Elephas maximus indicus: one gene and its partners. The protein of the gene in region 3 binds, or shares a complex with, the protein of the main gene of each other region. Links are inferred from orthologs where the notes say so. Each region holds a gene or a part of one and is shown on either strand. Other genes may lie near its edges.

What was found.
Region 1: TAF6 (region 3) and TAF3 share a complex: the UniProt entries of both Homo sapiens proteins name them as parts of the TFIID basal transcription factor complex. The link is inferred for Elephas maximus indicus from reciprocal best matches to the Homo sapiens genes TAF6 and TAF3.
Region 2: TAF6 (region 3) and TAF8 share a complex: the UniProt entries of both Homo sapiens proteins name them as parts of the TFIID basal transcription factor complex. The link is inferred for Elephas maximus indicus from reciprocal best matches to the Homo sapiens genes TAF6 and TAF8.

The regions. Positions count from the first base shown.
Region 1 is NC_064822.1:50,500,706-50,508,752, forward strand, and holds the start of TAF3 (transcription initiation factor TFIID subunit 3), read right to left. Parts: upstream 3,101-8,047; 5' UTR 2,909-3,100; coding exon 2,743-2,908; intron 1-2,742. UniProt on the Homo sapiens protein: The TFIID basal transcription factor complex plays a major role in the initiation of RNA polymerase II (Pol II)-dependent transcription.
Region 2 is NC_064819.1:106,460,368-106,467,673, reverse strand, and holds the start of TAF8 (transcription initiation factor TFIID subunit 8), read right to left. Parts: upstream 3,101-7,306; 5' UTR 3,084-3,100; coding exon 3,039-3,083; intron 1,590-3,038; coding exon 1,433-1,589; intron 1-1,432. UniProt on the Homo sapiens protein: The TFIID basal transcription factor complex plays a major role in the initiation of RNA polymerase II (Pol II)-dependent transcription.
Region 3 is NC_064830.1:91,623,998-91,631,960, forward strand, and holds the start of TAF6 (transcription initiation factor TFIID subunit 6), read right to left. Parts: upstream 3,051-7,963; 5' UTR 2,819-3,050; exon of another isoform or gene 2,753-2,818; intron 1-2,752. Other genes in the region: CNPY4 (protein canopy homolog 4), read left to right, coding at 3,270-3,411, 5,498-5,624, 5,712-5,808, 6,424-6,546, 7,264-7,381, 7,475-7,617. UniProt on the Homo sapiens protein: The TFIID basal transcription factor complex plays a major role in the initiation of RNA polymerase II (Pol II)-dependent transcription.

The DNA of each region.
Region 1 (8,047 bases), on a different chromosome or scaffold from region 3:
ATGCACATAGAAAAGTTCTGGAAGGAAAGGAGAAAGAATGGTTGAGGCAGGAGACTTTTACTTCTAACTATAAACACTTTCACAGTCTTTAAATTTTTCTGTGAGCATGGGTTACTTCTATAACGTATTAGAAAGTAAAAAGTAAAATTAATACTCATTCTTCCTCTTACTAACACAATATCCATTTCAATTCACCTATCTCTTGCTCACCTCTCACTGCCGTCAAGTCGATTCCGAATCATAGTGACCCTATAGGACAGAGTAGAACTGCCCCATAGAGTTTTCAAGGAGCGCCTGGCAGATTCGAACTGCCGACCTTTTGGTTAGCAGCTGTAGCACTTAACCACTATGCCACCAGGATTTCCCCTATCTCCCGCAGGCACTTATTCTCAGTTTAAAAAATATGATCATCTTTAATTCCTCCTTAACTTTTGCAGTCTCAATCCAAAAGCTTCTGGTATTTTCTCCCCTTTTTGCCATGGGTTTCAGATCATTTTTCATTCTCTCTATTTCTACTACCTCAGTATAGTTTCAAGTTCTCTTAACTTGAAACTCTTATATTTCATTGCCAGTATAATTTTCTTAAAACATCACTTTCATCATACTATTTTTCTACTTAAGAGTATGCAATGTTTTCCTATTATCTACCCCATGTTTTATGGGTAAGCGGTGGTTCAGTGGTAGATTCTTGCCTTCCATGCAGGACAGACGGGTTGGATTTCTGGCCAATGCACCTCATGTGCAGCCGCCACCTGTTTGTCAGCGGAGGCTGGCATACTGCTAATGATACTGAACAGGTTTCAGCGGAGCTTCCAGACCAAGACAGACTAGGAAGAAAGACTTGGTGATCTACTTCCAAAAATCAGCTAATGAAAACCCTGTGGATCACAACGGTCTGATTTGCAACCAATCTAAGGGCATGTCCCTGAATGCTTTGAGAAATCATTAACTTGGTGCCCAAAAATTATTTGTTGAAAAAACAGAAAGGCTTTAAAGGAGTGGAAGACAAGATTGCATAACAGTAAGTTGAGTTTACATAATTTGATTTTAAAATTTTGATAGTATAAAAAAGGAATTAAAAAAAAGTCTGTAATTAAGTAAAACAGGAATTAGCATTTTAAAAAGTCACCAAACCACGATGGGGAATAATGAACCTGGTAATTGCATCCTTGCTAAAATCAAGAAAGTGACTATAGAAATTGAGTAATTAGGGAAGAGGTTCATAATAATGCATAGCAATGATGACTTAGGAATACAGGTGAGTGACAGCACATATTCTGGTTTGTGTATAAGGCAGGAAAGTTAACTATGTATTCGGGGGATATTTTTATTTTATTTATTTATTTTTTAATGATACAGAACCTGTCCTTTTTAGGGAACCTGGTAGCAAAAATCTAATTTGGAGTATGCATAACCCCTAACAATATACTGAAGGACTGGGAAGAGAGAGAGGGAAGCAAAAGCCAAGAGGGTACCATGCTGCTAGTGCGCTTGCAAGGTAACAATGAATGAGAGTTACTTTTAGTCCAAGCTTGGAACTTCAAAGTATCACTGAAATCAAGGATTCAAAAAAATACACATTTCTGGATCTCGAAAAGCAAATCAATAGGTATTATGGTAGTGGGTTATTGGTTAATTCGTTTATTCAACAACTATTTGCTGGATGCCTATTATGTTATGGCACCATACGAGGTTATAGAATACAAATATAATAAACAGAGATCCACAGTCTGCTAGGGAGAGGAAGGGTGAGAGACATACACAGATAATGACAAAACAAGGTGACAAATAACATAAATATGCACAGAATTATGAGAGCAGATAACTTGAGTTCAGGAAACAATTTAACAAAGCAAAATATCCTACAAAAGACTTCAGTTACCCAGCTTGCCATTATAAAAACCATGACCTGGAATTTAAATGAGTGGAAGTGCCTTTCCCTCCCCCTCCTTCACGTCAATGAGATGTGTGACTTGTACTAAGTATTCCAAGTTATCAGATATAGATACTATCAGACATTCACCTAGAAAACATAAATACTGTAGCCCAGACTACCTAAAGAACCCTCATAAGCTGCTCTGATCCCTATAGCACACTTTCATAACCAGTAATACATAAAGAGGGAAGTCAAGGGGTGACTGAGATGTCAGTTAAACTAATGAGTGAAACTGACAAAGCCGAGTTTGGGAAGCAGTGAGTACGGATGCTGTCTATGAAATAAACAGGTATAGAAAGAAGAGGCAGTGTCCCTAACGGAGCAGAGCTGTCAATGAGTGTGTTATGAGCTGAAGAATAGCCAGTCTTGTAAGAAACGGCCGGTAGACGGAGCGCCTGTGACAACTAGTTGTAGTAGTTTGTGGGGAAGGAAGGAAAAGGACCAAGGTAAAAGAGCGTTTAAGACATTCTGGGGATGGTTCTACATGCACCAAAAACGAGACAATCAGAAAAACTGATGCACACTTCAGAACAGAGAAGAGATAAAAGGGTATGGAGTTGGGAGCGGAGACAGGGCTCCAAGGCTGGTGGCGGGAAGTTAGCGGATGAGGAAGAGGCATTAAAGGGATGACTACAGTTTCAAGGGTGAATGGAAGCGACGGACCGTCAGGGGCCAACGAGATACCAGATTTCGGGGAAGAAGTGAGGAACTAAAAACTCGTAGGTGCTAAGATACAGAAGGGGAGACTAAAGGTGTCACCCGTGACTTGCCAAAAGCAATCCTCCCTCACCCAGCCCGGTACTCACAGAGCTCAGAGTACCGATGGCAGCCCCGTCCCAACTGCTGCAGATAACGCTGCAGCACGTCCGTGAGGAGATGGCAGGCGCTGAGCTGCACCGAGTCCCAGCCCAGCGCCTGGCAGATCTGCGCCACCGAGACCCTCAACAACGACCTGGAGTAACTCTCACACATCCCGTTCCGTTGACTCCACCGCAGTCCTTGCTGCCACTGCTCTCCAGCCCCACCGCCTAACCTTAGCAGAGCCCCCGATTCATCCTCCAGGGCACCCGTGGCGGGGAAATCGTCCCCTAGACCCCCGGCGACCACCTCAAAGCTTCAGCAACACAGAGCGCGCGAGCCTGAGAATCGCCATTTTGGACTCGCTCCGCCTCCCTCTGGACTGTCGCCGGGGCGAGGCAGCACTAAACAAATACTGATTGCGTCAATGAAAAAGCGCTCCGCCCCATTTGAACAGATCGATTGTTTTGGTATCAACTCTTATGCCTAGAACACTGCAGGAAAAGACTATGAAGAATTCTAGTAGAGGTTGCGCCCCTGAAAAGTCAGATGGTTGAGGCATTCCCAGTGCGGCTTTCACGTGGAGAAGGAGGTGCAGGCAAACCGCGGTATTTTACGGGAAAAGAAGCTTGGATATGTAAATGAAATGAACGTTTTAGAGAGAAATGTTAATCAGAAAGGCTGTAAGTGCGGGAATGGGGTTTGGGGGAGAGAAACAAACTGAAAACGCGGATCTAATCTGTTCTCGTCGCTGCTTAAAAAGTTGAGCTGCTTGCCATGTTGTTTATTGTTAGATGCTGTCTAGTAGGTTCCGACTCATAGCCACCCTATGTACAACAGAACGAAACACTGCCCAGTGCTGCGTCATCCTCACAGTTGTTGCTATGTTTGAGCTCATTGTTGAAGCCACTGTATAAATCCATCTCATTGAGGGTCTTCCTCTTTTTTGCTGACCTTCTACTTTACGTTGTTTTTTTTTTTCTGGGTCTACTTTACCAAGCATGATGTCCTTCTCCAGGGACTGATCCCTCCTGATACCATGTCCGAAGTATGTGAAATGAAGTCTCACCATCCTCACTTCTATGGAGCATTCTGGCTGTGCTTCTTCCATGACAGATTCGTTGTTTTTCTGGCAGTCCTTGATGTATTCAGTATTTTTTGCCAAAACCATAATTCAGAGACATTAATTCTTCTTCAGTCTTTCTTATTCATTGTCTAGCTTTCGCATGTATATTAGGCGATTGAAAATACCGTGGCTTGGGTCGGGAACACCTTAGTCATCAAAATGACATCTTTGCTTTTTAACACTTTAAAGAAGTCTTTTGCAGCACATTTGCCCAATGCAGTATTTCGTTTGATTTCTTGACTGCTGCTTTCATGGGCGTTGATTGTGGATCCAAGTAAAATGAAATTCTTGACAACTTCAATCTTTTCTCTCTTTATTATGATATTGCTTATTGGTCCAGCTGTGAGGATTTTCTTTATGTTGAAGTGTAACTCATACTGAAGGCTGTAGCCTTTGATTTTCATCAGTAAATACTTCAGGTCCTCTTCACTTTCAGCAAGCAAGGTTGTGTCATTTGCATATTGCAGGTTGTTAATGAGTCTTCTTCCAATCCTGATACTGCATTCTTTTTCCTGTAGTCTAGCTTCTCAAATTATTTGCTCAGCATATGGATTAAATAAGTATGATGAAAGGATACAACCCTGACACACACCTTCCCTGATTTTAAACCACACTATTCCCTTGTTGTGTGCAAACAACTGCCTCTTGGTCTATGTAGAGGTTCCATGTAAGCACAGTTAAGTACTCTGGGATTCCCATTCTTCACGATGTTATCCATAGTTTGTTATGATCCACACAGGTCAAATGCTTTTGCATAGTCAGTAAAACACAGGCAGACATCTTTCTGGTATTCTCTGCTTTAAGCCAAGACCCATCTGACATCAGCAATGATATCCCTTGTTCCAAGTTCTCTTCTGAATCTGGCTTGAATTTCTGATGGTTCCCTGTTTCCAGACTAAGACAGACTAGGAAGAAGGACCTGGTGATCTATGTCTAAAAATATAGGCCAGTGAAAACCTTATGAATAGCAGTGGAACATTGTCTGTTATAGTGCCAGAAGATGAGCCCCTCAGGTTGGAAGACACTGAAAGTACAACTGGGGAAGAACTGCCTCCTGAAGTATAGTGGACCTTTATGACATGGATGGAGTAAAGCTTTCAGGACGTTCATTTGCTTATGTGGAACGATTCAGAATGACAAGAAACAGCTGCAAACATCCAATAATCAGAATATGGAATGTAGAAAGTATGACTCTAGGAGAATCAGAAGTTGTAAAAAAGGAAATGGAGCATGTAAAGATCGATGTCCTAGACATTAGTTACCTGAAATAGACTGGTATTGGTCATTTTGAATCAGACAATCATATGGTCTGCTATGCTGGGAAGGACAAATTGAAGAGGGGTACAGTTGCATTCATTGTCAAAAAGAGCATTTCAAGATTTATCCTGAAATACAAGGCTGTTGGTGATAGGATAATATCCATATGCCTACAAGGAAGGCCAGTTTATATGACCATTATTCAAATTTACACATCAACCACTAATACCAAAGATGAAGAAATTGAAGACTTTTGCCAACTTCTGCAGTCTGAAAATGATCAAACATGCAATTAAGATGTATTGATAATTAGTGGTGATTGGAATGCTAAAGTTGGTATCTTAGGCTGGGTTCTCTAGAGAAGCAAAACCAGTAAAGTGTATAGAGAGATTTATATCAAGGAAATGGGTCACACAGTTGTAGAGACTGGAATGTCCCAAGTCTGTGGGGCTTCACATAGCCGCAGGGGATGGCAAACTCAAGCTCGGTAGGTCAGAGAGAGGGCTATTGCTCACAGGCTGTGAAGATCAATGAATCCCAAGATCAGCAGGCAAGACCACAGATAAGCTGCTAGCTCCAGTCCCAGAAATTGGAGGTCAGATGAACAGGAGCCATCTACAGGATCCAGAGTGAGCAAAAGCCATGAGCCTTGCTAGAATGTCTGCTTATATTCAGTGCAGGCCACACGCCCAAGGAAACTTCCCTTTTCAACTGATTGGCTACTTAGAGCAGATCCCATCATGGGGGATGATCCCAACATCATACGACCACCAAACCACTGCCCAGCCAAGTTGACCCACAATCTTAACCATCACAGTTGAAAACAAAGAAGTATAACTATTTGGAAAATATAACTTTGGTGATAGAAATGACTCTGGAGATCACGTTAGAATTTTGCAAGACCAATGACTTCTTCATTACCAATACCTTTTTCAAGCAACATAAACAGCAACTGGACCCACCAGATGGAATGCACAGGAATCAGAACAACTACCTCTGTGGAAAGAGATGATAGAGAAACTCAGTATCATCAGTCAGAACATAGCCAGGGGCCAACTGCAGAACAGAAGATCGATTGCTCATATGCAAGTTCAACGTGAAGCTGAAGAAAATTAAAACACATCTACAGGAGCCAAAATGTGACCTTGAGTATATCCCACCTGAATTTAAAGACCGTCTCAAGAATAGATTTGATGCATTGTACACTAATTGCCAAAGACCAGATGAGTTGTGGGATGCCATCAAGGACATCATACATGAAGAAAGCAAAAGGCCATTAAGAGGACAGCAAAGAAAGAAAAGACCAAAATGGATGTCAGAAGAGACTCAGAAACCTACTCTTGAACGTAGAGTAGCTAAAGTGAAAGGAAGAAATGATGATGTAAAAGCTGAACAGAAGATTTTAAGGGGTGGCACGAGGAGACCAAGTATTGTAACGACACATGCAAAGACCTGGAGTTAGAAAACCAACAAGGAAGAACACAATCAGTATTTCTCAAGCTGAAAGAACGGAATTAAAAATTCAAGCCTCAGGTTGCAATATTGGAGAATTTTGAATATTGAAGGATTCTATGGCAAAATATTAAATGACACAGGAAGCATCATAAGAAGAGTCACTGTACCAAAAAGAATTTGTTGATGTTCAGCCATTTCAGGAGATAGCATATGATCAAGAACTGATGGTATCAAAGGAAGTTCAAGCTGTACTGAAGACATTGGGGAAAAACAAAGCTCCAGGAATCGATGGAATATCAATTGAAATGTTTCAACCAGGGGATGCAGCATTGGAAGTGCTCACTCATGTATGCCAAGAAATTTGGAAGACAATTACCTGGCCAACTGACTGGAAGAGATCCATATTAATTATCCAACAATATCGTTAATGTTACACTCAAGTAAAATTTTGCTGAAGATAATTTAAAAACTGCTTACCATAATATGGATTAAAGTTCGAACTGTCATTGAAAGCCCTTAACAAGAATGCTGGGACTAGGTGAGGGGAGTGCATAATTTTAGGGGGCAACACAAAACTCAGTAATCAACATTAATTTAATATTTGTTTAAATATTAAATACAGTATTTTTAAATCTAATTTAATGTCAGGATAAAACATCTGTGATGAACAAAGTGTCAGCATTTTAAATAAAGACAGGAACCAATCCTACATTCAAAGAGTGACTCAGCCTCACTCATCTCATACTAATCTCAGCCCTGCTTCCAATAAATTTTATTTGCAAAAAACAGGCCACTTGCAAGTGCACCGTAGTTGCCGATTTGTCTGCCTCTAGCCACTGATCTATCAGGGGAACAAGAAACTTCATTGTCTACAGATCCCTAACAAGTAACCGAACAGAATTCAGTTTGGTGGATGTATCAGAGACTGTTGTCTACTCCAGGGCATTCTCCTACCTCCAGCCAAGTGTTGCCAGATCTTTCCAAGTTGCTGGAAATTGAGTTTTTAGGATAAATACCTTGGTTTTTAAATATTGGGGACACATTTTGAAAGTTTTAATTTGCAATCCAAACTAATTATAGGGTTAAGCCAGATTGGGGCTGTGGGCTCAAGCTTCTGTAGTGTTCCCTCCTCCCATCCCCTCATCTCTTTACACTGTGTCTCTGTTAGCTTCTCTGTATTTAGACATTTCAAAGTGCGTTTAATATTTGAGCTTATGTGCTTCCCCTAATAAATTGTGAGTTTCAGTGTGGTTCTGTATTCCTCTTACAGAGACCGTTTGATAATAGGTTTTATTTATTTATTTTGAACATTTTGTGCTTTAGTTGAAAGTTTACACGACAAATAGTTTCCCGTTCAACAATTTATACACACATTGTTCTGTGATATTGGTTGCAGTCCCCACAATATGTCAGCACTCTCCCCATTTCCACTCTGGCTTCCCCATTTCCATTCATGCATTTTCCCTGCCCCTCCC
Region 2 (7,306 bases), on a different chromosome or scaffold from region 3:
CTTGTCTGTTGGGAATTACATATTAGCCCATTTCTTCAGGAAAAACATTCTCAAACGGTGGTCTGGGAACCCCTGGGAGATCCTGAAATCCTTCAGAAAGTCCACAAGGTCAAAACTATTTTCATAATAAAATCAAGATATTTGCCTTTTTGACTCTCATTCACTCATGTAGAATTTTGCAGACGCTACATCCCCTGCGAGGATGACATGACTCTGGTGGATAATGAAATCTGTGCTTGCCCATTGTTATGTTCTAATGTGACAAACATTTATATCTGTATTGCTCTATAGAAAACCCACATATACAAAAGCTCCTTGGAGTCTTCAACATTTACGAGTCTAAACGGGTCCTGAAACCAAAAAGTTTGAGGTTTCTGCTTTAGGAAAACATTTGCTGTTTAAAAAGTTCCAAATATCAGCTGCAGAAAGCTGCTCCGCCTGAGATCACACCCACATCCAGTGACTGATCAGGACTGGAGTACAAAGGCAGGCCATTTCAGCCTGATGTAGGACACTCTGGTGGGCAAGAAATACTCCAGGTTTCCTGTGGTCTTTGTCCGGCCTGCACTGTAGTTCTTCTCCCTCTGCCCAAGCCTTTCTCTCACTTCCTTTCGCAAGTGTTGATCCCTGAAAAACATCTTAAACATCCCCATCCCTCATTCTGCCTCACCCCCACCAAAATAAAAGTCCCAAACAGGGAAATCCATTGTACATGCAGAAAAGCCTATGTGAGGCCATAACAGCCTTCTTAACTTCACGCCATTTCCTTTTTCAAATGTTTATTTCATTCTATAAAATTTATTCATCCTCATTTTTTGTATCAAACAATATAGCATTTGATTACATAATGTGCTGGCATCTATTTCACGGAAATTTGTCTTGGCATTCCAACAAAACTGACTGTTCTTTGAGCACAGACAGCAAAACAACAGTAATAGGGCACCTACACATCATCAAGAGCTTATGACGTTCCCAGCATTCAATGTTTACATATACATATTACTTAACTTCAAAACTCCAACCTGTTGCTGTCAAGCTGATTCCAACTCACAGCCACCCCACAGGACAGAGTAGAACTGCCCCATAGGGTTTTCAAGGAGCGGTTGGTGGATTTGAACTGCCAACATTTTGGTTAGCTGCCAAGCTCTTAACGCCTGCACGACCAGGGTTCCAACCCTCACGATTCTATGGGGTGTAAATTATTATCCTATTTCACAAAAGAGGAAACTGAGGTTCAGAAGGTTTAGTGATTTGCCCAAGCTATTAAGTGACAGAGTGATGATTTACACCCAGGTCTACCTGATTTCTAACGCCTGTCAATCACTTTACTATGCTTTAGTTTGTCTTAAGTTCTCTCACATTATCACCACTCAGGTCACAGAACAGATACTTGGGTTGACTCAAAGAAAGCCTGATATTTCCCAGTACTCACAGCTCTGCAGCATCTCTGTCAATGTTTCCACGGACGCTTTCTCGGCACTTTCAAACCCTGCCTCTGTCAGTAAGGAGCTCACCACCACTTGCAGGGTTCGTCTCCGGGCCAGATGGTAGTTATCAGCAGGGTTAGTGGACTGTTTACTTCCTGATCTCTGTCAATCAGCAACCCAGAGAAATTTTCATCCGCAGGACAAGGATGCAATCACACAGTTCACAGAGTCAATGACGAGCAAAAGTTATTTCCTAAATATGTATGTCAGTGCTTAATAAAAGGTAAAGAGCCCTGGTGGTGCAGTGGTTAAGGACTCTGCTGCTAACGGAAAGGTTGGCAGTTCAAATCCACCAGCCACTCCACAGGAGAAAGATGTGGCAATCTGCTTTTGTAAAAGATTACTGCCTTGGAAACCCTACAGACAGTTCTACTCTGTCTTACAGGGACACTATGAGTTGGCTGGATGGCAACGGGTCTAATAAAAGGTAGTCACCCCTTAGACTTAGCAATCTGGGCCCATTGAGTAATAACTGAACACCCAACTTGAACATGGTCTAAATACAGACAACCTCTGCCTACCTAAAACTTACAAGTCCAATAACACATAATGGTGTTTCCCCCCCGAATGATATTTTCGGTGTGTGTGTTATGTGGTGCAAATATATACAACAAACCCAAACCCACTGCCATCAAGTCGATTCTGACTCACTGCAATTCTATATAGAGTTGATTGCGACTCATACCGACTCCATAGAACTGAGTACAACTACCCTATAGGGCTTCCAAGGTTGTAATCGTTATGGAAGCAGACTGCCACATCTTTCTCCCATGGATCCGCTGGTGTGTTGAACTGCCGACCTTTTGATTAGCAGCCCAGTGCTTTAACCACTGCGCCAGCAGGGCTCCACACACAACAAAACTTTCACCAATTGAATAGTTTTTCTGGGCATAATTCAAGGCCAATGACTACTGTTCATGTTGTACAACCCTTATCCCTATCTTTTTCCTAATTATTCTGCCACCATTAACGTAAACTCAGTGCACAAAGGCTGTTTTGTATTTTGTACCTTAGCAGGTTGTCAGAATATATTACTGAAGGAGCACACGCGATGGGACTGAATTCATGCCTATCGCGGGGGCGGGGGGAACTCTTCCTCTTGTCCTCCCATCCCCACGCCACTTCACTAACAAGGAAAATTAAAACAACAACCCATAACCCTCGGGAGAGGAGCGTAAAGTGTACAAAAAATAAATAAATAAAAGTGTACAAGCACAGAAAAATAGGGAAGCTAAGTATTTTGAAACAGGAATCTCTCCCAACTTTGGTTGGCCAAGGTAAAGGCGAAAACGGTATCTTCGGACCAATCAGGAGGTGTTCCGGATTCCCAACCCCCCAATAAGGAACGAGCCAATCAGGACACAGGTCCTCCAACTCAGAAGGCCGCCGCCAAGTCACAAGAAGGGGGGGCCCGTACGGCCTGAAAGACCCTTCTCCACTTGGAGTTTATGATGGGCTGAATTTGTGGATATAAGCTTGTTGACAAGGCCAGGGGGAAGTTACGGAACATCCAGACTCTCTCGGTTTCGGCCCCGCGCTTCCTGCCCTTACCGTTCCGGAGCTGCCAGCCCCGGCTGAAGCCGCTGTGTCGGCCATCTTGCTCTGGCGTAATGTGTCTGAGCGCAGGGCGAGATGGGACTTGTAGTCTCGGGGTGGTGAGGGCGTGGGGCGGGGCGTGGGGCGGGGCGTGGGGCGGGGCGTGGGGCGGGGCGTGGACGTGGGCGGGGCGGCAGACCTGGATCGGGGTGCCGCTGTTGCCCCGGCTCACGAGACCTTCCGAGAGCGAAAGTTTCACCTGGCCCTTGTGGGCCAGGAAATGGGCCAAGAATATGTGCCCTCGGTTTTACTAATTAAAAGAAATCTGTTTCGATATGAAACAGTTTCTCATAAAGAGCACACCCCTGGAATGATCCAGGAGGTCGTCTACACTTGCGACGTTTTGCAGATTTGCAACACCTGGCTTAGCCAGCCCAGCTCCACAGACGTAGTCGGTGTGTGTGTGTGGAGGGGGGAGCTGAGAACCCGTGTTGTTATCTCGCTCCCCCGGGGATTCTCCCGATGAGGTCCTTTTGGGAAGCCCTGAAGCGTGCACCCTATGATTTTGTACCTGAAGACCCCGACGGCGGCCACCTAGTCCAGATCTTCCCTCTACATCTCGCCCTCAGTGCGCACACATTTGCGGGGGCCCGCCTCGCTCCAGGGGCTTCGCGTCCACGCGCCTGCCTGTGGTTTTCTTTCACTTGCCCATCAGCCCCTCTGGACTGGGAGCCCTTCGGGCGCGGGTCCTCGCTCCTCCGCGCCTTATTCGTCGTCGTTAGCCGGTGCCTGGCAGGGCGCGGACGCTGGGTTTGCATCCTAACGCTTGCCAGCTGTGGGACTTCGGACAAAGTATCTCATCTCACTGTGCCTCAGTTTCCTCTATCTGTAAAATGGGGTTGGGATTGATACCAGCGAAAAAAATGAGGTACTGCAGAGACAGGGTTTGTCACGGTGCCTGACGTATACGGTAAGAGTTCTGGAAATTGTACCTAATGTTATTTATTTCCTGGGGAGCGTGTCGATCATTCACGAACGCCCAGCAGGCAGAAGTGTGGAAACCCGCACGGCGCCGGCCCCGCGGCCCCACACCTGAGCCTCGGTGAGCGCTCCCGCGCCCCGGGCACGTGGGGGGCGGGCGTTTGCGGACTGGGGGCGTGCTGCGTCGGAGGAGCGCCCGGCTGCGCGCGGGCGCCGAGTGGGGGCACACAGCAGCCGAGCGAGGACCCAGCCCCTTTGTCTCCCCCGCCCCCCCGCCCCACTTCCTGCCCAGCTAGCTTTCAACTCGGGATCGGCGGCGCGGCACTGACTTGTAAACACGCCGCGCCTGCGGGGGCGGAGACCGGCTCAGTTTGGGCGTCGGGGGAGGGGTGCAAGGCTCTCCCCAAGAACACAAGCGAGAGGCTGCAAGAGACGGCGTCTGCGTCCACGTTCCGTGCTTCGTGGGACCCACCTGCCAAGGAGGTAGGATTGGGGGCTGGAGAAACCAGGAAAGATGGGGTGTCAGTCTCGCCCCCCTTCGCTGAGGCTCCGAAGCTCAGGCTGCAGACCTTAGGGGAGTGTTGGAGGCGAGCGGGTTATGGGGGCTACTTTGCTCTCGTCATCTCCCCGTTTGTCCCCAGAGCTCTGCTCATTTTCCTTCTGAGTGAGCTCTTCTACATGGGAGCTGCAGAGGAGTGTCCAGCTCCTAAGTAGGAACCCAGCGCCCCAGTTCTTTAGATACCTGTACGTCCACAGAGCTCCGCTCCAAGATGACCTGGAAGCCAGGTGGCTTCATTATGCCGTCGGGTGCTTTATACCTGAGAGATGGGGTGGGGAGGAGGAGGAGGAGAACCAGGGTGGGCAGGGAGCCTGGGGGTGCTCCTGCCAGCCAGGGTTGAGAGAGGGAGGTCAGTCCACAGACATAAAAGGAGGGACCCCTCAGTGTTCTCCCACTGTGGGGTCTGATGGGTAGACAGGTGATGGTCTTAGCTTCCTCTTTGAAGAAAAACTGTTTCTGAGGAAGAACTGAAGAAATTGGTTGCCTTTTCGAAGGGAGCTTTAATTTACTCACCGCAAGCATTGATTGAGCACCTACTAAACGCCTGGCATTGTCGGGGGGGGGGTGGCCGACGGTGCAACGATGGTATTCATCCACTGCTAGTGTGGGTCCCAGAACAGGAGATAAGGTGCCAAGTGCTCTGGCTGAGATGGCTGGGGAAGCTTCAGAGTGAAGAGACATTTGAGTTGGGTCCTGAAAGATGAATATTCAAGAGGCAGAGAAGTGGTGGGAAGTCTTGGGGGGCACTTATTCATTCCACAAAGCTGTACTGAACACAGACTGTGGTATTGGGCGTTGGATACACTGGGGATGCAGACAAACAAAATTCCTCCTCTTTTAGCCCACTGTCTAGGCATGAATAGAAGGGAATGAATTTGGGGAAAGGCAAGTTTCTGGGCTGTTTCCCAAGAACCCAGGAATTTCCAGCACCACAGTGCAGCTGGAAGGGCCCCCCTGGGGGTGATGTGACAGAGCATATAACCCTGGGGCACTCACTCCTCATCCCTGTACTCTGAAACTGGTTCCTCCAACCAGTGCTTGCCCTGTGCCTACCGCCTCCTTTCTCTTTGGGGCCAGGCATGTGTGAGGAGAACTGGATCTCCATTGCTTTCCTGCAGAGTCTTGGCTTTTTCAATTTCTGGGCTCCTTTGAGAGACGGCTGACACGGCAGTTTGTTAATTCTTCATCTCTTTGCTGGGGCCATGCTATGTGCCCGCACAGGCTAGGTGTTGGGGATATAATGGTAAATAAGTCAGAACCTGTACCTCCTAAAGCTGAGAATGGAGTGAGAGAGTGCATCTTTGAGGATTCCAGCAGGATCCCAGTCTGTGTCCATCCTTGAGGACTCTGACCTTCTCCCAAGCACCTTCTCCTTCCTGTTTCCTTTGAGGGCTCAGAATACTAGCTAAGGCACTATTGTCAGGCTTTGTTCTAAGTGCTTTAGATGTAATTTGTCATTTAATCCTCCTAACAACCCTATGAAGGAGCCCTGGTGGTACAGTGGTTAAGTGCTCAGCTGCTAACAGAAAGGTGGGCAGTTTGAACACACCCAGTATAGCTCTGCAGAAGAAAGACCTGGCAATCTGCTCCCATAAAGATTACAGCCAAGAAAACCCTATGGGACAGTTTTACTCTGTCTCATGGGGTCACTATGAGTCGAAATCAACTCGATGGCACCCAACAACAGAAATCACAGCAGCCCTATGAGGTAGGCACTGGAATTATCTCCATTTTATAGAAGAAAAAACTTAGGCACAAAAGGGATAGACCTGTCTCAGAAGAATGCAAGAAATAAATGGCAGAGCCGGGATTTAAACCTAGGTCACTTGACTTGGGAAGCTGTGTTCTTAATTTGCCTGTCTCCTTGACTGACCACGTAGAAGGTGGACCTGAGTCAGGGACCTATGAGTTTCCCAAAGGGAGTTCATGGTCTTGCACACTTGGGTGATACGAAGGAGCATGACCAGCAGCCTGTTAGCTGAGCTTGGGTGCTGGTACTGCTTACAAGGAACCCTAGCAGGTTTGGAGCAGGCTTGTGGGAACGGCACAGAGCTGCTTTCCTTTCCTGATGGCCCCGTGTGTGCTTTGTTTCCCTGGGTGAGCCTCACACACCAAGAGGAAGGAGGAAAGTAAATAACACAGGAGGAACCAGGGTTAGATGCAAGAAAGAACTTACCAGCATGGCTGCGATGTGGCAGAATCTGGGCATGTGGGAAATCAAGATAAATGGGCACACCAGCCCAGGGACAAGGAGGAGAAGGCAGGAGGGAACAGGAAAGCTGGTAATGGGGAACCTAGGGTCGAGAAGGGGAGAACATTGATGTGTTGTGCGTTGGCAACCAATGTCATGGAACAATGTGTATTAATTGTTTAATGAGAAGCTAGTTTACTCTCTAAACCTTCATCTAAAGTACAATTACAAAAAAAAAAAAAAAACCTAGCAGAGATCCTTCTGTTGTAGATTCCAAGAGGACCCGTCTACTAGGTAGCTGAGTAAGGGAAGATGGTCAAGAAGCGAGAGTTACTCCTAAAATGCTGCCTCAGTTTCTTAGTGCTGCTGTAACAGAAATGCCACAAATGGGTGCCTTTAAGGAACAGAAATTTGTTTTCTCACACTTCAGGAGGCTAGAAGTCTGAATTCAGCGTGTGGCTCTAGGGGGAGGTCGTTCATTGTCTATTTCAGATTCTAGTAGCCAGCAGTCTGTGTTTCTCGGTGATCTTGTGACATCTGTCAGCGTCCGTT
Region 3 (7,963 bases):
ACTTTGGAGAATGGCAGCTGGGGTCTTAAACACTAGCAAGCAGCCATCTAAGATGCATTGATTGGTCTCAACCCACATGGAGCAAAGGAGAATGAAGAACACCAAAGACACAAGGTAATTATGAGCCCAAGTGACAGAAAGGGCCATATAAACCAGAGACTACATCAGCCTGAGACCAGAAGAACTAGATGGTGCCCAGCTACAACCGATGACTGCCCTGACAGGGAACACAACAGAGAATCCCTGAGGGAGCAGGAGAGCAGTGGGATGAAGACCTCAAAGTCTCATAAGAAGACCAGATTTAATGGTCTGACTGAGATTAGAAGGACCCCAGAGGTCATGGTCCTTCTGTTAACCCAAGACAGGAACCATGCCAAAAGCCAACTCTTCAGACATGGATTGGACTGGACTATAGGACAGAAAATGATACTGGTGAAGCATGAGCTTCTTGGATCAAGTAGACACATGAGATGTTGGGGGCAGCTCCTCTCTGGAGAAGAGAGGAGAGGGCAGAGGGGGTCAGAAGCTGGCTGAATGGATACGAAAATAGAGTGGAGGGAAGGATTGTGCTGTCTCATTACAGAGAGAGCAACGAGGAGTATATAACAAAGCGTATATAAGTTTTTGTATGAAAGACTGACTTGGTTTGTTAACTTTCACTTAAAGCACACACACAAAAAAAAAAACCTCCTTGAAAGAGTTGACTTTGAACTCCTTTCTAATTCCTTTCCTTTCCTTCTTATACCCACTGCAGGCTTTTGCCCCCACTATGTCCCTGAAACTGCTCTTGTCAAGGTCACCAACGATTCCACATCACTAACTCCAAGGTTCTCACCTTACTTGACCTCTCAGCAGTATACAGTTGACCACTGCCTTCTTCTGAAAATACTTTTCTTCACTTGACTGCCAGACTACCTGCACTCGGTTTTCCTCCTACCTCACTGGCTACTCCCTTGCTGTTTCCTTTACTGGTTTTTCCTTTTCTGTCTGCTTAATTTTGGAGTGTCCTGGGCTCAGTCCTTGGTCTTCTTCTCTAGCTACATTTACTTCTCTGGTGATCTCAACCACTTCTATGGGGCAAACTTATATCCCCAGCCCAGATCTTTCTCCCCAATTCTAGACTTGTATACTCAACTGCCTCCTCAAAAGCTCCACTAAAACTGAACTCCTGATCTCTACCCACCTGTTCCAGGCTCAGCTTTCCTAATCTTCACTTACAGCAGTGCCGTCCATGCAGGCACTCAATCTTTATCTGAACCCTCACATCGGACCCACTCTGATTCCCCCACTTCCAACATCTTGGCCCACGTCACCATCATCTCTTCCCAGGATATCTTCAAAAACTTCTTAACAAGGTCTCCCAGCTTCTACCCTCACCTACCTACATCTATTCCTAATAACTATTCCTAATAGCCAACATAATTCCATCTAATGTAAACCCCATCATGTCATTTATCTGCTCAAAATATTGTAATGGCTCCCCATTTGCCTTATAGTAAAATCCAAAATGCTTATAATGGCCCACAGGGGCTTTTATGGTTTGCCCCATCCTCATTTTATCTCTGACTTCCTTTCTTTCCCTTTTCCACCTCCAGCCACACTGTCCTCTTTGCTGTTTTTTGAAGCTGCCAGGCATACTCTTGATTTATAGTCTTTGCTCTGTTCCTTTGGCCTGGAATGCTCTCCCCAAGATATCTGCTTGGCTGCCTACTGTGACCACTCTATTTAACATTCCATCCCACCCTCATTCTGCTCTACTTTGTTCCTCCCCTCCCCCCCCCCGCCAGCATTTAACATCTAATATATTCTATAATTTCTTATTGTTTACTACCACCATGTGAGCTCCATGAGGACAGGGATATTTGTCTGTTATGTTCACTGATGTATTCCAAGAGCCCAGGCAATGACTAAGGCAAGGTAGACCCTCAATAAATATTTGAATGAATTGTAAGGCTTAGAGATGTTTGTATATACCACGTAGGTGTTCAATAAATACTCGGCATCACTACTGCCAAGATGAATAAGATACAGGCCCAAGCTTGGAATCTACTCTGTGATCAAAAGTAGTATACTTGGAGCTGTACATTAGGAAGATACAGGTCAATAGTGTTCAGCACCGACTTGGGGGGCAGGGGAGCGTGAAGGAGGACTGGAGACGGGGAAGGTGCAAGACGCAGGAGAATTTGGCTCTTCTCAAACCATCCCAGGTCTCCTCTCCCATTTTATAGCTACATTTTTATGTACCTGTAGGGAACACATTTATTCAACACATATGCTGTGCCTGGTGCTGGGTACACAAGAATTCCTATCAATCCTCCAACATCCAGCGGTACTCACCTCCCCTCAGCGAAGCCACCCCACTCCCCAACAGAACTAATCACTCCCCCGCCGTTGTCCCCAGAATCTGGTCCTTTTCAGGACGTTTCCCACTGGAGGTTGACTACGTATCTGTCTTTCTGCTACCCCCGCATTGGGCCCTATAGATACAGGTGTGCAATGAGGGCTCATAAAACTCCCTACAGCCTCAGAAGCCCCTCAGATCAGTGGAGGCACTGGGAAGGCTTCCCAGAGGGCTGGCTTGACCTACGTCTTCCAGGCTGTGTAGTTTTCCCAGCAGAGAAAGTGGGGGGAAGGCCCCCAGGCAATGGGTACAGTGCGAGCAAAGGCTCAGAGAGCCCACCCCATCTCCCCCAACATCCTTCAATGCAAACACACACACGGGGGTCCCCACGCGCAGGGACACACAACCAACCGTCCTCTTGCCGGTCCCCACAAGGGACCTTTTGGGGGTCTTGTCCCTGGTATCACTCAGACCCACCCCCGCCAGCCGAGCGTCCAAGCCTGCAAAGTCTCTCACCGCCGCCAAAGCGCCGCTCACCCGGCGCTGGGCGCCATGTTGGGCCCGCCCCCTCTAGGGAGCAGGTCCGGGCAGAGGACAACAATACACGGCCCCTCCGCGGAGCTGGAACGAGTCCCCTAGCCTTACGTCCTGAAATGATATAAAAACACTGTTTCTAAATATGTGGGAAGGAGTACTCTCTCCCGTCCCAATTACTCTGATTTATTCCTTCACTACCCGTCGGCCAGGACCTTCAGGAGGCGCCACCAAACCTGGGCGGGGAAGCCCAGAAGTACGTAAGGCCCCGCCTCCTTCGGTGGGCACTGCGCACGCGCTCGAGCTGCTAGGCTGGATTTCCAGCAGCCGTCCACCCCTCCCTCTGAATTTAAAGGGCCCGCTGCCTTGCAAAAGTTGGTTCGGAAATAGAAGAATGGTTGTTCGTGGACCGCACTTTGTCATGGGACCTGTGCGTTTGGGGACGTTGTTTTTCGTTTTGGCAGTGTTTGGGGCTCGGGCCAGAACGCCGAAGGAGCAGGACGATGACTTAGAACGCTTGCCCAGCAAATGCGAAGGTATCTAAAGGGAGTAGCATCTATCTGTATCCCCCTGCCGCACTTCCCTCGGCTGGGAGCGCGTTTGGGATGAGGGTGGGAGGATGGGAATGTAAGAAAGGTTGGGGCCATACAGTAAAGAGACTTGTATGCTATTGCTAGAAACATTGGCTGTATTCTGCTCACAGTAAGAGGACTGCAGGGGTGTTAAAGAAAGGACTGATACGACCAAAGGGACCGTGATGGATAGGTCACTCGACCTTCTTGAATGCCTGTAGGCGGTTCGGTGAACTTGGCAAAATTCGAAAGAGATCAAGGAAGGGAATGGCATAGTGCGATCTCAAGACTATGGCAGTACAGTTCCCATGAGACATCCAGAGGGAGCCCCCTTTGTCTTGCGAGGTTGGGCCCCCATGGTTTGTGGGAATTGTATTTCAGGGACTATGCCCAGGACTGCCTACTGCGTACTGAGCATCTTCGGGTGTGTGTGTGTGCGTGCCCCTTGTCACTGGACCTAAATCTGGAGGGCGTGCCGGAGCCACGTGTGAGGTTCATACCTGTGGACATCCTCTGTCCCAGCTCCACAGAGAGGCTCTCAAATTACAGGACCTGTGCACCCCTGAGGGGGGCTGGGAGTGAGCAACTCCACCCTTCAAGCTCATAAACCAAAGAGGAGGTCACACTGCTGTGAGTTTCCCTATGATGTGAGGCCTTGTAGAGGGTGTGCACTGTATGGATTTTACAGCAAGCAGCATCTTCTGTGGCTGCGTTAGTGTGGGCCCAACCTGGGAGGGGCACTTCAGAGCTGGGTAATCAGGTGCCCTGGTGTCCCTAGTTTGTTGCCTTCCTGATGGTAATTTCTTCCCTGGATCCTTTTTCTCTTCACCTCATCCCTTACTGCATATCAGTAGCAGTGTTTCTCAGACTCTGGTCCTAAGCTCTCTTCTCCCTTCACTTCTGTGTCCCCACTCTTCTCTCCACCCGGCAACATCCATCATCCTTTCTGAACACAGACATAAGCGTGTCCATCCGCTTGTCCTTATTTTAACACCCCTACAATCCTCTTACTGTGATCAGAATACAGCTAACATTTTGGGCATAGTGTCTTAAGTATCTTTGCTGTAACCTTTCTTATATTTCCGTTTTCCCATCCCCTATCCCAAAACGGCCCCAGCCACACTGAACTTCTCACTGGTCACCGGTCACCGACTCTGCCTTATCCTCTTGCACCTCTTGCCTTTGCACATTGTTCTTCCCTTTGCCTGGAGTGACCCTCTCCTTCTGTGTCTGGTAAGCACCTACCTATTCTTCAAGACCCAGTTTAAACATTACCTCCTCTGGAAGTCTTTTTCCTCATGTGTCACCTCCCACTGTATCATGCTCCTTGAGGGACAGGGTGTGTCTGTGTATTCCAAGCCCTAGCATAGCACCTGGTACGTTTTAGGCACTTTTGTTACTTGCTCCAGTATTTAGTTTGCCTGTCACTTCTGTATTGGTCATACGCTTTTATTGGGACCCACCACGTACCAGGTCGCGTGCTAGGTGCCGGAAATACTGTGGCAGAGCAGGAGTGATGTTTGCTCTTCAGGAAATCACTGTTGAATGAATTTTGTGTTTCCTCATGAGGATGTCTCTTTATCTGAATCCCTAGTGTAGAGTCCATTGCACCATATTGTCATCATCTGTCTGTCTACACTGGCAGTGTCACATGTCCCATGGATAGGGATTGTGGGTTTTATTGCTGTCTATATTAGTGTGCATACAAAAGTCACTCAATAAATAATTGCAAAATAACAGCAAACGTATATACAGTGCTCACTGTGTGCCAGGCATTATTCTAGGGGCCTTACATATATTAACTTATTTCATCTTCGCCGTACCCCTTTGAGGGAGATACTTTCATTATCTCCATTTTAGAGATGAAGAACCAAGGCACAGCAAGATTGTCACACAGCCACTAAGTGGCTGAGCCAGGATTCTACCAGTTAGACTGGCCCCAGAGCCTATACTTAACCGTCATGCTGTGCTGCCTTTGGTCATCTGCAGAATGAGGTGCTGGTGTGTTTGTTTTTCTCTCACATCTCCTTGAACGTCTTTATTCCGTAAGTCTGTAAGCTGCTGAGCCTGGAGCTACAGGAGGAGCTGAGCCGCACTGGTCGATCTCGAGAGATGCTGGAGCTGGGGCAGGTGCTGGACACAGGCAAGAGGAAGAGACACGTCCCTTACAGCATTTCGTGAGTCTTCCTTGGTGTCCCTTCACTGTAAGAGCCCTGAGAACTCCTACAGCATCCAGGGAATCCTTATTTCCCCTCTTCCCACAGGGAGACAAGACTGGAAGAGGCCTTGGAGAATTTATGTGAGCGGATCCTAGATTACAGTGTTCATGCTGAACGCAAGGGTTCACTGAGATACGCCAAGGTCAGACCCTTCTCCAGGGCAGCCATGGTGGGGGATCCCACCTCTTAGAGACAAAGACTTATATTCCCTGAGGTCCACAAGAGATGTCTGCCCATCACTCCCCATCTCCAGTGTCCCCTTCCCATCATCAGACTCCCCCCTCTCACCTTCATGGAATTCACTCCTCAGTCTCCAGTAGTTGACAAAGTGGATATGGTGGGAAAGAGGAAGAAAGAGGTGGCCAGCAGGCTGATCCCATACAGGGGTATAGTGAGCGTAACCAGTGCCCAGGGGCAATCTCTAAGTTGCTTGGAGTCCCTCACATTCAAGCACCCAGGGGCAATCTCTATATTACATGCCTTCCCCAAATTTGAGCACCCAGAGGCGATCTCTAAGTTGTGTCCCCACCCCAATTTCAAGATGCATAGCCTTCGATAGTGGCAACTTGTCAGCAGAAACACCTTATCGCCTCTTGTCTGGCTGAGCCAGTTTTCATATTTGTGGCGCCTCGAAATGTTATTCCGCATGTCATCTGGCACCCCCTTCAACTTGCATCTCGGGGCAAGTGCCCCACTCTGCACCCATCTAACCCCCGCACCCCACTACATCTCTGAACCCAAATTCCTCATCTCTCAGGGCCAGAGTCAGACCATGGCAACGCTGAGAGGCCTGGTTCAGAAGGGGGTGAAGGTGGATCTGGGGATACCTCTGGAGCTGTGGGACGAGCCCAGTGTGGAGGTCACGTTCCTCAAGAAGCAGGTAGGATAAGATATTGTGCTGCCCGAGGGGGGAGAAGGGGACCTGAGAGGAGAACTGGGTCCTAGAATTTGACAGTAGGAGACGTCTACCTCTGAGCAGGGAGAAGAGGGCAGAAGTGGTAAAATGAAGACTACCGTGAATTGAAGTGGGCTTGGGAGAATACCAAGAAGTGATAACAGAGGCTAATAAATAACCCCTACGGCTTATTGTGGGAGCTCTGATTAGAGCTCGGCTGATAACCAAAAGGTTGGCAGTTGGAATCCACCAGCTGCTCTTTGGAAACGCTATGGGGCAGTTCTACTCTGTCCTATAGGGCTACTATGAGTTGGAATCAACTCGATGGCAATGGATTTGGTTTTTTAACTGCTTATTGAGCACTTGCTATGTGCCAGATTCAGGAGGCCATACTTCCCAGCTGCTGCCTCATTTACCCTCACAACAACCTCTTGAGGCAAGTACTATTACCATTCCCCATTTTACAGGCAAGGAGCTGAGATTCAGAGAAGTTCAATAAACTCCCTGGCACAGAGTAGGTGCTAGGAAATGTTTATTGAGTGAATGGGCATCACACATCTAGTAAGCCAAGCTTAAAACCCAGGCTGCCTGCCTCTCCAAGGTCAGCCAGGTGGGATAGGGGAGACAGGAAGTGGAGAGCAGAGAGGAGGGTTTCCGAAGCCCAGCAGAACAGACGCCCTTTTGGCCCTTCCTCCTGACTAGTGTGAAACAATGCTGGAGGAGTTCGAAGACGTTGTGGGAGACTGGTACTTCCACCACCAGGAGCAGCCCCTACAGCATTTTCTCTGTAAAAGGCACGTGCTTCCAGCTGCAGAAACTGGTAAGTGTGTGGGCTGGGCTCCTTTCCTGCGAGGTCACAACCTCCCCTATTTCCAGGACCAATATCTAAACCATCTTCTGTCACCCAACCTAGCGTGTCTAGAGGAAACTTGGACTGGAAAGGAGGAGATCACAGATAGACAAGAGAAAACAGAAGGGGAGGAGGAGCATGAAGAGGAGGAAGAAGAGGTAACCAAGACACCAGGCCACCCCAAGCATGACCCAGAGGACCTTTGACTTGTCTTGGAGCCCCCAGGAAGGGCAGGGGTCATGGAGAAGAACCTTCTGACGTATGAGCTTTCCCTGCCCCACAGCTTTAATGCTGTATGTTGTGTGAGTGACCCATTCCAGGGCTTGTAGCTGTTCTCTCCTATCTGAGGCTAGGCAGGATCCTGGTGGTACAGCATGGCATACTACTGGGAGAGGCTGGGAGCAGCAGGTTGAAGTCCTGCCCCAATAGATGGGCCCTCTGCCTGCCATCCAGCACCTTGAATGGCAGGTGTGTGTGCTGACAATACCCAAGGCTTTCCCCTTTAAATATCTCTATTGCTTCCAGAGGTCAGCAGTGACTTTGGGGCTGTGG